Stegostoma tigrinum: one gene and its partner. The protein of the gene in region 1 interacts with the protein of each later gene in a biochemical or structural test. Links are inferred from orthologs where the notes say so. Each region holds a gene or a part of one and is shown on either strand. Other genes may lie near its edges.

Region 1 (7,459 bases):
GGCCATTCAGACCCCTCTTGGAGTCTGTTACACAGAATCAGGTTGAGGCCACTCAGCCACCTCCTGGACCCAGTTACAGAGGAACGGCAGGGGACCATTCAGTCCCTTGAGCCTGTCTGACTATTCATTGAGATTCTAGCTGCCATGATTCACAATTCCCAACCATTGCATCACTAGTCTGTGTACAGTTGCCAGAAAACATCCATCAATGCCACTGGTAACATTTATAGCTAGCCCACCCTAAACTTCAACAGCACTTAGTGCGAGAGATCCCAGGTCTGCTACTTGGGAAAGGAGCCCATCTTGACATCCCTTTCAAATTGCCTCCTCCTTGAAATGGAAAGTAAAGCTCCCTCTGCTCTTTTAAACAGGAAGTAAATCTCCCTCTTCTTCTCAACAGAAGGTAAAGCTCCCTCTACTCTTTTAAGCAGGAAGTGAAGTTCCTCTATTCCAATAAACTGAAAGTAAAGCTCTCTCTACTCCAATGAGCTGAAAGTAAAGCTCTCTCTACTCTTTGCCCGTCAAACATTGCCAGGACAGGATCATACAGTCTTCCTTCTCTTTCACAGCATAGCGCACACTCCTCTCGAAGCCTGTCTGGCTGTTCTCCTGGGCCATTTTCTTCAAATCCACTCGCAGGGTGATCTTCGAAGGAAGAGACAGCTGAACGGAGGTATTCCCGGACCTGGGGGGGGGGGGGGGGGGGGGGGGGGGAAGAGGGCAAGATAAGGTGCAGTGTTAGGTCAATGCGACGGACTTGGAAAGGCTCGAGTTTGTGTTCCCTGGTCCGAAAGTCCAACCCTGCCCCCTCGTTCTTCACTTAACACACTCCTTCAAATCTCCAACAGGACAGCGTTCTAGAGCCAACCACCTTCGGCTGCTTCATCAATGACCGCACCCACCCCCACAGGCAGCAGAATCGGGGATGTTCACCGATGACTGCACAGTGTACAGCACCATTCGTGACTCCTCAGGTCCTGAAGCAGTCCGCGTTCAAATGCAACAAGATCTGGACAATATCCAGGCTTGGGCTGGCAAGTGGCAGGTAACACTGATGCCACACAAATGCCAGGCAGTGACCATCTCTAGTAAGGGAAAATCTAACCGTTGTCCCCACTATCCTGGGGATTATCATTCACCAGAACCTGAACTTGGACCGGCCCCACATAAACACAAGGGGCTACAAGAGTAGGTCAGAGGCTGGGAATCCTGTAGCGAGTCACTCACCTCCTGACTCTTCCCTCTTCCACAGGCACACACACAGGCACACACCCCACCCCTGTCTGATGGGATATTCCCCACTTGCACTGGGTGCAGGCAGCTCCGACATCATTCGAGAAGTCGACACCACCCAGGGACAAACCAGCCAACCGCTCAATTGGCATGGCATCCACAAACACCAACACTCAGTCGCAGCAGTGTGTACCATCTACAAGATGCGCTGCAGAAACCCACTGAGGCTCCGTAATTCAGTACCTTCCAAAACCCCACACCCTCCACCATCAATATGGACAAGGGGCAGCAGATACATAGGAACACCAGCCCCCTGCAAGCTCTCCATCCCAACCTGGAAATATATTACCATCATTGGGCCTGGAACTCCCTCCCTATCAGCAGTCTAGGTGGGCGCACCATGCACTGGTCCAGGGAGACAGGCAACAGATCCTGGGTCTAGCCAGTGAAACCAACATTCCTGGAAAAACTTAAAACACGCAACTTCACAGTCACACAATCAGTTAAATAAGATCGCGAGAGAAGACGGCAGACCTAGCGAGAGGGGCACCATGTAAGACCGAGAGAGAGCGAGAGAGAGCGAGAGGGAGGGTGTGTGTGGAAGCGGACAGACTGCAAGACAGAGATAGACAGGTGGGGTATGTGGAGGGGGACAGACTGACAGAGAGAGAGATAGAGAAAGGGGAAGAGAGAGAGAGACAGAGAGGGAGGGAGCCAGTGAGAGAGAAGGTGGGAGGTGGAGATGTTTTGGGTCATTCCTCTGCTATGGGCACGGGTACCTGAAGCTGCAGAAATTTCAATCATAGGGAAGGAACTTGAGAGTCGGGAATCAGAAGCAAGCAGGGATATGAAGGTTTTGGGACGGAAGAAGATCACAGAGTTGGGGGAAGGTAAAACTAGGCTGGGAGGCGGACAGACAGGTGGGATCAGAGACGATGGAAGGATTTGAGTTTTGAACTCGAGGCGCCTTTGGCAGAACACTGCTTTTTGACACTTACCGCAAAGCCTCTGAAAGCTCCCGCTCATGCTCGGCCGAGTAAACATTCCAGGATCCGTCATCCGCTTCCCATTCCCAACGGCCAGCTAACTCATTGAGACCCACCTCCTCTTCATCATTGTCTGCCGTCGCTCTCTTGCGGCCTGCAGGGAGAACACCAGTCCCACTACCATAACTCTCACACACCACCGAGGTAAAACTTATCAATATCCAGGCTTGGGGTGACAAGTGCCTCGTAACATTTGCGCCACACAAATGCCAGGCTGTGACCATCCCCAAATCAAAGAAAATCTAACCACCCCCCTCCCTTGACATTCAATGGCGTTGCCATCACTGAAACCCGCCCCCCCCCCCACAATCAACATCCTCATAACATAAATACAGTCGCGACAAGAATAGGTCACAGGATCAAAATACTGTGGCCAGCAACTCCCCTCCTGACTCCACCAAAACCTGTCCCACCATCAACACACAGTCAGGAGTGTGATGGGATACACCCCACTTGCCCGTGGATGGGGGCAGCTCTGACAACACTCGACAGGCTCCACACTGTCCAGGGTCAAAGCGGCTCCCCACTTGATTGGCACTACATCTACAAACACCCGCTCCCCCACCCACCGATGCTCAACCGCAGCAGTGTGTAATCTACAAGACGCCCTGCAGAGACTCACAAAGGGTCCTCAGGCAGCACCTTCTACATCCCACGGCCACTTCCATCTGGAAGGATAAGGGGGCAGCAGATACATGGGAACACCAGCCCCCTGCGAGTTACCCCTCTGAGCCGCTCGTCATTCCGACTTGGAAATATATCGGCCGTTCCTTCAGTGTGGCCAGGTCAGGATCCCTGGAATTCCCTCCCTGAGGGGGACGCTGTGGGTCTACCCCACAGGACATGGGACTGCAGCAGTTCAAGGGGGCAGCTCACCGCCACTTTCTTAAGCACAACTATGACAGGCAATTAATGAATTTCAAAAAAATCCCTGTGAGGCACAGAATTGTAGAACGAGACGGCACAGAATGCCATTCAGCCCGTAGCACCGAGATCTGCTTTTTGTCATGTTTTGAAAGAAAAATCATCGACTCGTCCCAGCCCAGAGGAGCAGCGGGCATGACGCACACTTCAGGAAGAACAGGTTTTCTTCTGTTCCACTTTGTTATTGTCACATGCACCAAGATACAGTGAAATGTATAATCCGCATGCGATGCAGATAGATCATATCTTAGTTAAGTACATCAGGATAGTAAAACAGAATGCCCAATATAGTGTTCCAGCAGCAGAGAGGGTGCAGAGAGAGAACAACTCGAATATATGAGGGATCTACTCGTAGGTCTGATAACAGCAGGGAAGAAGCTGTTCTTGAATCTGTTGATATGTGTTTTCAAACTTCTGTATCTTCTGCCCGATGAAAAGAGGGTGAAGAGAGTGCAACTGAGGTGGGAGGGGTCTTTGATTATGTTAGCTGTTTTCCCGAAGCAGCAGGAAGTACAGGTGGAGTCTGTACAGCGCGGAAACAGACTCTTCGGCCCAACCAGTCCATGCTAAATCTCAAACTAGCCCCACCTGCCTGCTCCTGGCCTGTATCCCTCTAAACCTTTCCTATTCATGTACTTATCCGAATGCGTTTTAAACATTGTGACTGTACACACATCCATCACTTCCACTGGAAGCTCATTCCACACTCGGGCCACCCTCTGTATTTAAAACAAAAACCTTCACCTTTTTTTTAAATCTTTCTCCTCTCACCTTAAAAATGTGCTCTGGTCTTTAAATTCCACACTCTTAAAAGACACCTGCCATTCAACCTATCTACATCTCTCACAATTTCATAAATGTCTGTAAATTCACCCCACAACCTCCAGTGTTCCAGCTTATCCTTATAACTCAAACCGTCCATTTCAAGCAACATCCTGGTAAATCTCTTCTGAACCCTCCCCAGCTTCAACGACACCCTTCCTGTAAGAGGACAACCAGATTTGGACACAGTTCTCCAGGGACAAAAGCAGAAATTGCTTGGAAAGCTCAGCATTCTGATCTGAGGAAGGGTTGCCCCAGACCAGAAACAACAACTGATTCCTCTTCACAGGCACTGCCAGGCCTGCTGAGCTTTTCCAAAAGCTTCTGTTTTTATTTCTGGTTGACAGCATCTGCCGTTCTTTCGGGTTTTATATGGTACTCCAGACGGGGCCTAACCAACATCTTGTACAACCTCAAATTGTGTCAATGGATGGGAGGCTGGTTTGTATGATGGGCTGGGCTGTGTTCGCAACTCTCTGTAATTTCTTGCCTCAGAAACAAGGCTGAGTCTTTTTTTTCTGACTGTGCAGAAACTGGGAGCGGCACAACCTGGCGGCGGTGGGGGGGTCACAGGATTTGACCATGCAAGGAGGGGGAAGACACGCTTCATCCACACCAACGGAGCAGAGTGTCATGTTCCGAGGAGTGACAATAACCGAGAACCTGTCCCGGGGTTCCCACTCGGATGCAACGGTCAAGAAGGCTCAACAGTACCTCTTCTTCCTCAGGCGGCTCAGGAAATTCCGGGTTTTCCGTAAGGACCCTCACCAACTTTTACTGATGTACCACAGAAAGCATACCGTTCCGGGTGAACAACGGCCTGGTACGGTGACAGCTCTCCCCCAGGACCGTAAGAAACTGCAGAAGGCGGTGTGTACAGCCCAGACCATCACAGAAGCCGACCTTCCACCCATGGACTCCAGTTACTTGTCTCGTTGTTGTGGAAAGGCTGCCCATATCATCGAAGACCCCTCCAAACCTGGTAATGATCCCCTACAACCTCGTCCATCAGGCACAAGACACAGAAGCCTGAACACACGCACCATCAGGTTCAGGAACAGTTTCTTCGCTGCTGTTATTAGACTAATGAATAGACTCCCGAACTTCAAATAATGCTCATCTTGCTCGCGTTGATCTTGCTTCGCACCCCTCCTGCGCAGCGTAACCTAGATGCCTAGTTCTGTCTAAGCACCCGATAATCTGCATGAGACATAGCAAGAACTGCAGATGCTGGAGTCAGAGCTAGCACACAGCGTGGGCATGGAGGAACACAGCAGGCCAAGCAGCATCAGAGGAGCAGGAAAGCTGATGTTTCAGGTCGGGGCTAAACAGTTCTGAAGAAGGGTTCTAAACCGAAACGTCAGCTTCCCTGCTCCTTTGATGCTGCCTAATCTGCTGTGTTCCTCCAGATCCACACTGTGTTATCTATGATCTGTATGTCCTTATTTGCTATGATCTGCCTGTACTCTACACAAACACAGATTTTCACTGTACTTAGGTACACATGACAACAATAAATCAAATCAAAATCACAAATTGGGTTAGGTATGACACTGGGGGCTGACTGTGAACAAATTGGGTTGGGAACAACACCAGGGGCCTGACTGTGAACCAACTGGGACATCTACAACACCAGGGGGGGGTCTGACTGTGAACCAATTGGGATAACTACAACATCAGGGGGGGGGGGTCTGACTGTGAACCAATTGGGATAAGTACAACATCAGGGGGGGGGTCTGACTGTGAACCAATTGGGATAAGTACAACATCAGGGGGTCTGACTGTGAACCAATTGGGATAAGTACAACATCAGGGGGGGGTCTGACTGTGAACCAATTGGGATAACTACAACATCAGGGGGTCTGACTGTGAACCAATTGGGATAAGTACAACATCAGGGGGTCTGACTGTGAACCAATTGGGATAACCACAACATCAGGGGGGGTCTGACTGTGAACCAATTGGGATAACTACAACATCAGGGGGGGGGTCTGACTGTGAACCAATTGGGATAACTACAACATCAGGGGGGGGTCTGACTGTGAACCAATTGGGATAACTACAACATCGGGGGGGGGGGTCTGACTGTGAACCAATTGGGATAACTACAACATCAGGGGGTCTGACTGTGAACCAATTGGGATAAGTACAACATCAGGGGGTCTGACTGTGAACCAATTGGGATAAGTACAACACCGGGGGGGGTCTGACTGTGAACCAATTGGGATAACTACAACATCAGGGGGGGTCTGACTGTGAACCAATTGGGATAACTACAACATCAGGGGGGGTCTGACTGTGAACCAATTGGGATAACTACAACATCAGGGGGGTCTGACTGTGAACCAATTGGGATAACTACAACATCAGGGGGTCTGACTGTGAACCAATTGGGATAACTACAACATCAGGGGGGGTCTGACTGTGAACCAATTGGGATAACTACAACATCGGGGGGGGGTCTGACTGTGAACCAATTGGGATAACTACAACATCAGGGGGGGGGTCTGACTGTGAACCAATTGGGATAACTACAACATCAGGGGGGGGTCTGACTGTGAACCAATTGGGATAACTACAACATCAGGGGGGGTCTGACTGTGAACCAATTGGGATAACTACAACATCGGGGGGGGGTCTGACTGTGAACCAATTGGGATAACTACAACATCAGGGGGGGGGTCTGACTGTGAACCAATTGGGATAACTACAACATCAGGGGGGGGGTCTGACTGTGAACCAATTGGGATAAGTACAACATCAGGGGGTCTGACTGTGAACCAATTGGGATAACTACAACATCAGGGGGGGTCTGACTGTGAACCAATTGGGATAACTACAACATCGGGGGGGGTCTGACTGTGAACCAATTGGGATAAGTACAACATCAGGGGGTCTGACTGTGAACCAATTGGGATAACTACAACATCAGGGGGGGTCTGACTGTGAACCAATTGGGATAACTACAACATCAGGGGGGGGGTCTGACTGTGAACCAATTGGGATAAGTACAACATCAGGGGGGGGGTCTGACTGTGAACCAATTGGGATAAGTACAACATCAGGGGGTCTGACTGTGAACCAATTGGGATAACTACAACATCAGGGGGTCTGACTGTGAACCAATTGGGATAACTACAACATCAGGGGGTCTGACTGTGAACCAATTGGGATAACTACAACATCAGGGGGGGGTCTGACTGTGAACCAATTGGGATAACTACAACATCAGGGGGGGGTCTGACTGTGAACCAATTGGGATAACTACAACATCAGGGGGTCTGACTGTGAACCAATTGGGATAAGTACAACATCAGGGGGGGGTCTGACTGTGAACCAATTGGGATAACTACAACATCAGGGGGTCTGACTGTGAACCAATTGGGATAACCACAACATCAGGGGGGGGGTCTGACTGTGAACCAATTGGGATA
Region 2 (7,160 bases), on another chromosome or scaffold:
AAGGATAGGATTCTTGGCAGCGTGGAGGAACAGAGGGATCTTGGTGTGCAGATACATAGATCCCTTAAAATGGCCACCCAAGTGGACAGGGTTGTTAAGAAAGCATATGGTGTTTTGGCTTTCATTAACAGGGGGATTGAGTTTAAGAGTCGTGAGATCTTGTTGCAGCTCTATAAAACTTTGGTTAGACCGCACTTGGAATACTGCGTCCAGTTCTGGGCGCCCTATTATAGGAAAGATGTGGATGCTTTGGAGAGGGTTCAGAGGAGGTTTACCAGGATGCTGCCTGGACTGGAGGGCTTATCTTATGAAGAGAGGTTGACTGAGCTCGGTCTCTCTTCATTGGAGAAAAGGAGGAGGAGAGGGGACCTAATTGAGGTATACAAGATAATGAGAGGCATAGATAGAGTTGATAGCCAGAGACTATTTCCCAGGGCAGAAATGGCTAGCACGAGGGGTCATAGTTTTAAGCTGGTTGGTGGAAAGTATAGAGGGGATGTCAGAGGCAGGTTCTTTACGCAGAGAGTTGTGAGAGCATGGAATGCGTTGCCAGCAGCAGTTGTGGAAGCAAGGTCATTGGGGTCATTTAAGAGACTGCTGGACATGTATATGGTCACAGAAATTTGAGGGTGCATACATGAGGATCAATGGTCGGCACAACATTGTGGGCTGAAGGGCCTGTTCTGTGCTGTACTGTTCTATGTTCTATGTTCTAAAATAGAAATTGCTGGAAAAGCTCTGCAGGTCTGGCAGCTTCTGCAGAGATAGAATTCTGCTACTTCACGATCTTTGAAGGAAGATGGACAGATGCTGGAGGATGAGGAACCTACAGGGTCAAGGTTGGGGTATGGGAATAAGCAAAATCACTTTTCCAAAGATCCAGCACAGACATCAGGGGTAGAATGGCCTCCACAGTTTAAGGTCAGAGGGGAGAGACTAAAAACAAAAGAGTCCAGAGGGCAGGTACATGGATGGGATAAGTATGGAGGGATATGGACCAAATGCAGGCAAATGGGACTAGATTAATTGTGGAAACTGTGTGGCATGGGCAAGATGGGCTGTAGGGCCGGTATCCACATGGCTAACCTCTGACTCCATGTGTACCACAGATAACTACTTCTCTTCTCAACCAAACCAGGCCATAAGGAACTTCATGAATTAGGACTGGGCTGATGGTTTTTAAGGGTACAAGTACTGGAGCAAGTGGGAAGGGGGATCTTCAGGAGATCTTCTCTCCCTAAACCTCTCCCACTCATCTAGCCACAGATGCCTGACTGGTTTCTGCATTGAGAACACTAATCGAGACGGGGTCAGGGGTTGCGTACCGCATGGATTCTCTGGATCTTGCTTCTCACAGAATTCCCAGAAGTGATAAAAATCTTCTGGCATCTGTAGCTTGTAGAGATCCCGAACTTCTTGTCGCAGTTCCTCAGGAATGCTGGAATTCTCTCCTCGGTTCTTCTTACCATCTTCAGCTACCGGGTTCTTAGACTGAGGTAAATGAATCACAAAGAAAACTGAAATAATTCAAACAGTAAACACTGCAACATTCCCAAAACACTAAAACAGCTCCCGAGGCAGCAGGAAGTGTAGATGGAGTCAGTTACAGAGGGGGGAAGCAGAGACCTAGTTCTCTAAGAGTTTGGGGATTAGTTTGTTTGGAATTGTGGCATCAAAGGCAAAACTACAGTCAATAAGTGGGATCACTTACAGATGCCCTCTGGCCCAAGCCTCTCTCATATGGGAGAACAATCTTTCTGCGCTTATACTGCCAAGTCCCTGAGAATCTTGAATGTTTCAATAAGGTCACCTCTCATTCTTTTATTTTCTAACCCTGCCTTTTGAGATGGTCTAGTAGGTCACTCAGTTCAAGGGCAATTAGGAATGGTCAACAAATGCTGTTCCTGTCAGTGGTGCCCACATTGTGCTGAATAACAAATGAACAAAAGAGACACTGTATAACGTTTTCACCTTTGTTGCTGGTGATTTGGAGGGGAATTTGCTGTTTTTAATAGTTCCCCATAAGTCTACTCCCTGTATCCTGGGTAGTGGAGGTTTCTGCACATATTTTGTAAAAAAATACTGAAAAAACACGTGGCCTTTCACAGAAACATACAATTGACAGAAGTGACTCAAAACGTTAACTCTTGTTTTCTCTCTCTCCACAGATGCTGCCAGACCAGCTGTGTTGAGGCTGGTTTTGTTTGTTTCCAACTCCCGCAGTTCTTTGTCGTCATTTTAGTTGACAGAAGTCTTGTTCCACCCTTCCCTCTGATATAGGCGAGACACTCAATACCTTTCCTTTTGTCAAAAATATCACACATTTATCTGAAAATAAATGGTGCAGGTAAGGCTTATGGGGTCAATGCCTCACTTAATCCAAAACAGCACTGGAGCAAAGAATCTGCTCCATTGTCGCATCTAATATCTTTGCAATGAGAGACTTACTAACACTTTAGTAAAGACATTGTTAGTAACATTTAGTGAAACAATGTTGCTGCTCTTTAATCCCTGGGACACATTGTTACTTCCGGAGCTACAGTGTATCACGCTGAAAACAATCCCGTATTCACCAGACTATCCTCATCCATTTACCTCGGAGCTTCTGAATGCAGCCTTCCTCTTCCCGCGTCCCGCCATATTCAGCAAACGCGACTTTACCCGGGCGGCAGAATAAAGACGGAGACACACTGAACACACCCCCAAACCAGTCAGCTCCCCGCCTCCGCCACTGGGACACGGTCACCTCTCCGCCTCCGCCACAGGGCCGCAGTCAGTCAACGGCCTGCCTCCGCCAGAGGGACACAGTCAATCAATTCCCCGCCTCCGACACAGGGCCACAGTCAGCTCCTCTCCTCCGCCTAGGTACACAGTCAGACAACTGACCGCCTCCGCCAGAGGGAAACATTCAGCTGCCGTCCTCCGTGACAGGGACACAGTCAGCTCCCCCCTCCACCAGAGGGACAAAGTCAGTCAATCAGCCACCTCCACCAGAGGGACATAGTCAGTTAATAAAATGTGAGGCTGGATGAACACAGCAGGCCCAGCAGCATCTCAGGAGCACAAAAGCTGACGTTTCGGGCCTAGACCCTTCATCAGAGAGGGGGATGGGGAGAGGGAACTGGAATAAATAGGGAGAGAGGGGGAGGCGGACCGAAGATGGAGAGTAAAGAAGATAGGTGGAGAGGAGAGTATAGGTGGGGAGGTAGGGAGGGGATAGGTCAGTCCAGGAAAGATGGACAGGTCAAGGAGGTGGGATGAGGTTAGTAGGTAGGAGATGGAGGTGCGGCTTGGGGTGGGAGGAAGGGATGGGTGAGAGGAAGAACAGGTTAGGGAGGCAGAGACAGGTTGGACTGGTTTTGGGATGCAGTGGGTGGAGGGGAAGAGCTGGGCTGGTTGTGTGGTGCAGTGGGGGGAGGGGACGAACTGGGCTGGTTTTGGGATGCAGTAGGGGAAGGGGAGATTTTGAAACTGGTGAAGTCCACATTGATACCATTGGGCTGTAGAGTTCCCAAGCGGAATATGAGCTGCTGTTCCTGCAACCTTCAGGTGGCATCATTGTGGCACTGCAGGAGGCCCATGATGGACATGTCATCTAAAGAATGGGAGGGGGAGTGGAAATGGTTTGCGACTGGGAGGTGCAGATCTCCGCCTCCGCCAGAGGGACACAGTCAGCTCCTCTCCTCTGCCACAGGGGCACAGTCAGTCAACTGATCGACTCCGCCTGAGGGACGCAGTCAGCTCCCCTCTGCCGTTTACTGAGGCATCTTCCTGTCTCAGATTTGGTATGAGCCACAGACAAACTGGGAATGAAGTTCCATTCTTGCCTGGGGAGCTGCTGGTGTAGTGGGAATGAAAGAACAAAGAAAATTACAGCACAGGAACAGGCCCTTCAAACCTACACCGATCCAGATCTTCCGTGTAAACCTGTTGCCTATTTTCCAAGGATCTGTATCCCTTTGCTCCCTGCCCATCCATGTACCTGTCCAGATACATCCTAAAAGATGTTGGGCGGCACTGTGGCTCAGTGGTTGGCTCTGCAGTCTCACAGCGCCAGGGAACCGGGTTCGATTCCAGCCTCGGTTAACTGTCTGTGTGGAGTTTGCACATTCTTCCTGTGTCTGCGTGGGTTTTCTCCGGGTGCTCCGGTTTCCTCCCACAGTCCAAAGATGTGCAGGCTAGGTGAATCGGCCATGCTAAATTGCCCGTAGTGTTCATGGGTGTGTGTGTTATAGGAGGATGGGTCTGGGTGGGATGCTCCAAGGGGCGGTGTGGACTTGTTGGGCCGAAGGGCCTGTTTCCACACTGTAGGGAATCTAATCTAATTACAGTATTGTGTCTCCATCTACCACCTCTGCTGGCAACGTGTTCCAGGCACCCACCACCCTCTGAGTAAAGAACTTCCCACGCATATCTCCCTTAAACTTCCCTCCTCTCACTTTGAACTCATGACCCCTAGTAATTGAGTCCCCCACTCTGGGAAAAAGCTTCTTGCCATCCACCCTGTCTATACCCCTCATGATTTTGTAGACCTCAATCAGGTCCCCCCTCAATCTCTGACTTTCTAATGAAAATAATCCTAATTTACTCAACCTTTCTTTATAGCTAGCGCCGTCCATACCAGGCAACATCTTGGTGAACCTCCTCTGCACCCTCTCCAAAGCATCCACATCCTTATGGTAATGTGGCGACCAGAACTGTATGCAGTATTCCAAATGTGGCTGACCCAAAGTCCTATACAACTGTAACATGACCTGCCAACTCTTGTACTCAATATCCTGTCTGATGAATGTAAGCATGCTGTATGCCCTATTGACCTGCATTGCCACCTTCAGGGAACAATGGACCTGAACACCCAGATCTCTTTGCCCGTCAATTTTCCCCAGGGCTTTTCCATTTACTGTATCGTTTGCTCTTGAATTGGATCTTCCAAAATGCATCACCTCGTATTTAAGATAATAAAATGTGAGGCTGGATGAACACAGCAGGCCCAGCAGCATCTCAGGAGCACAAAAGCTGACGTTTCAGGCCTAGACCCTTCATCAGAGAGGGGGATGGGGTGAGGGTTCTGGAATAAATAGGGAGAGAGGGGGAGGCGGACCGAAGATGGAGAGAAAAGAAGATAGGTGGAGAGGGGAGTCGTATTTGCCTGGATTGAACTCCATCTGCTATTTCTCTGCCCAACTCTCCAATCTGATTATATTTTGCTGCATTCTCCAACAGTCCCCTTCACTACCTGCTACTCCACCAATCTTAGTGTCATCTGCAAACTTGCTAATCAGACTAACTATACCTTTCTCCAGATCATTTACGTATATCACACACAATGTTGGTCCCAACATGGATCCCTGTGGAACACCACTGGACACAGTTCTCCATTTTGAGAAACTTCTCTGTCTCCTGTTGCCCAGTCAGTTCTCTATCCATCTAGCTAGTACAGCATGGACCCCATGCGACTTCACTTTCTCCATCAGCCTACCACGGGGAACCTTATCAAATGCCTTAATGAAGCCCTTCACATATCTATCAACTTTGTCACTTCCTCAAAGAATTCTATCAAGTTGGTAAGACATGACCTTCCCTGCACATAACCATGCTGCCTACCACTAATAAGCCCATTTTCTTCCAAATGGGAATAGATTCTATCCCTCAGTATCTTCTCCAGCAGTTTCCCCACCACTGACGTTAGGCTCACCGGTCTACAATTGCCTGGATTATCCTTGCTACCCTTCTTAAACAAGGGGACAACATTAGCAATTCTCCAGTCCTCCGGGACCTCACCTGTGCTCAAGGATGCAAAGATATCCAACTATATTCTCTCCCGCTTCCCTCAGTAACTTGGGATAGATCCCATCTGGACCTGGGGACTCGTCCACCCTAATGCCTTTTAGAATACCCAACACATTCCCCCTCCTTGTGCTGACCTGACCTAGAGTAATCAAACATCTATGAATGTCACTGGAAGAGAAATCTAGAACCCAAAACCAACATTCTAGGCCACATGGATTTGAATCCCACCAATGGCTGATGATGAATTTTCGAATTCAATGAAAATCTCTAAATAAAGGATGTCTTTCTAATCAACCTGTACAGAGATGCACAGCATGCAGACAGACTCTTCTGTCCAACACATCCATGCCAACAGGATATTCTAAACTAATTTAGTCCCATTTGCCAGCATTTGGCTCATAATCCGCTAAACTCTTCCTATTCAGATCCCATCGATGCTGTTTAAATGCTGTAAATGGACCAGCCTCCATCACCTCCTCTGGCAGCTCATTCTATACACACACCACGCTCTGCATGAAAACGTTGCCCCTCAAGTCCCTTTTGAATCTTTCCCGGTTCACCGAAGTCCTCTAGCTCATAGATGTATTACACACCTCTGGAGCAGGTGGGATTTGAACCCAGGCTTCCTGGGTCCTGTGACATCATTGTCAATGGTAGTTAAAACCCCTCTGATTCACCCCTGCCCTTCAGAGGAGGAAATTGTTGTCTTTTCCTGGTCTCAGCTTCACATGATTCCAGGCCCACAGAAATGTGCTTGATTCTTAATGCCCTGTGGTAATTAGGGATGGGTAATAAATACTGGCCCAATAAGTGACACCCACATCCCAATAACCAAAAAACAAAAAATGGATCAGCAGTGAAACATTTGCTTTTGGAATTGAGCAGCTCTTTATCACCGTGGTATCTCCTGGGGAAATCTAGCGTCACTGTGACTCGTTTTGCTCTATGTCCTGTTGACGAGAGAATGGTGCTTTCTCCTGAAGAAGGGTACCCACCATCTTCTGGCACACATCCTGAAGGGTGCCCAGCTAATCCTGTGTGGATCTTCCCACAGGAGGTCGGGTTAAAGATCCAGTGGTCTGTTTTAACAAAGACCGACAAGCTGCACTGACGGAGTGAGTGTGAGAAACCTTGTGAGGACGTTGACGGGAACCTCTCTCAGACCTTTGCAGTTGTGAGATTATCTCTTTTTCCTTCTCGGATAGGGCCCAGGGATTGGCAGGGGAGGTGCCTTTGCTGGTGTTCATCATGTCCTACAAAAGAATTGCACTTTCCTAGGACCTTTCGCTATATTTAGTGCATTTTAGCCACTTTCAAAGTGTGGACTGAGACTCCCAACTTCAGCTTGGATTTCAACTCCCGGCCCCGGT

The links. The genes of interacting proteins can lie anywhere in the genome.
Region 2: the proteins of parp2 (region 1) and histone PARylation factor 1 form a complex in vitro, tested with the Homo sapiens proteins (2 studies listed by BioGRID). The link is inferred for Stegostoma tigrinum from reciprocal best matches to the Homo sapiens genes PARP2 and HPF1.

What each region holds. Positions count from the first base shown.
Region 1 is NW_026728242.1:133,557-141,015, reverse strand, and holds the start of parp2 (poly [ADP-ribose] polymerase 2), read right to left. Parts: upstream 3,023-7,459; coding exon 3,003-3,022; intron 2,406-3,002; coding exon 2,232-2,405; intron 686-2,231; coding exon 549-685; intron 1-548. UniProt on the Homo sapiens protein: Poly-ADP-ribosyltransferase that mediates poly-ADP-ribosylation of proteins and plays a key role in DNA repair.
Region 2 is NC_081356.1:127,097,541-127,104,700, reverse strand, and holds the start of histone PARylation factor 1, read right to left. Parts: upstream 3,095-7,160; 5' UTR 2,641-3,094; coding exon 2,596-2,640; intron 1,492-2,595; coding exon 1,326-1,491; intron 1-1,325. UniProt on the Homo sapiens protein: Cofactor for serine ADP-ribosylation that confers serine specificity on PARP1 and PARP2 and plays a key role in DNA damage response.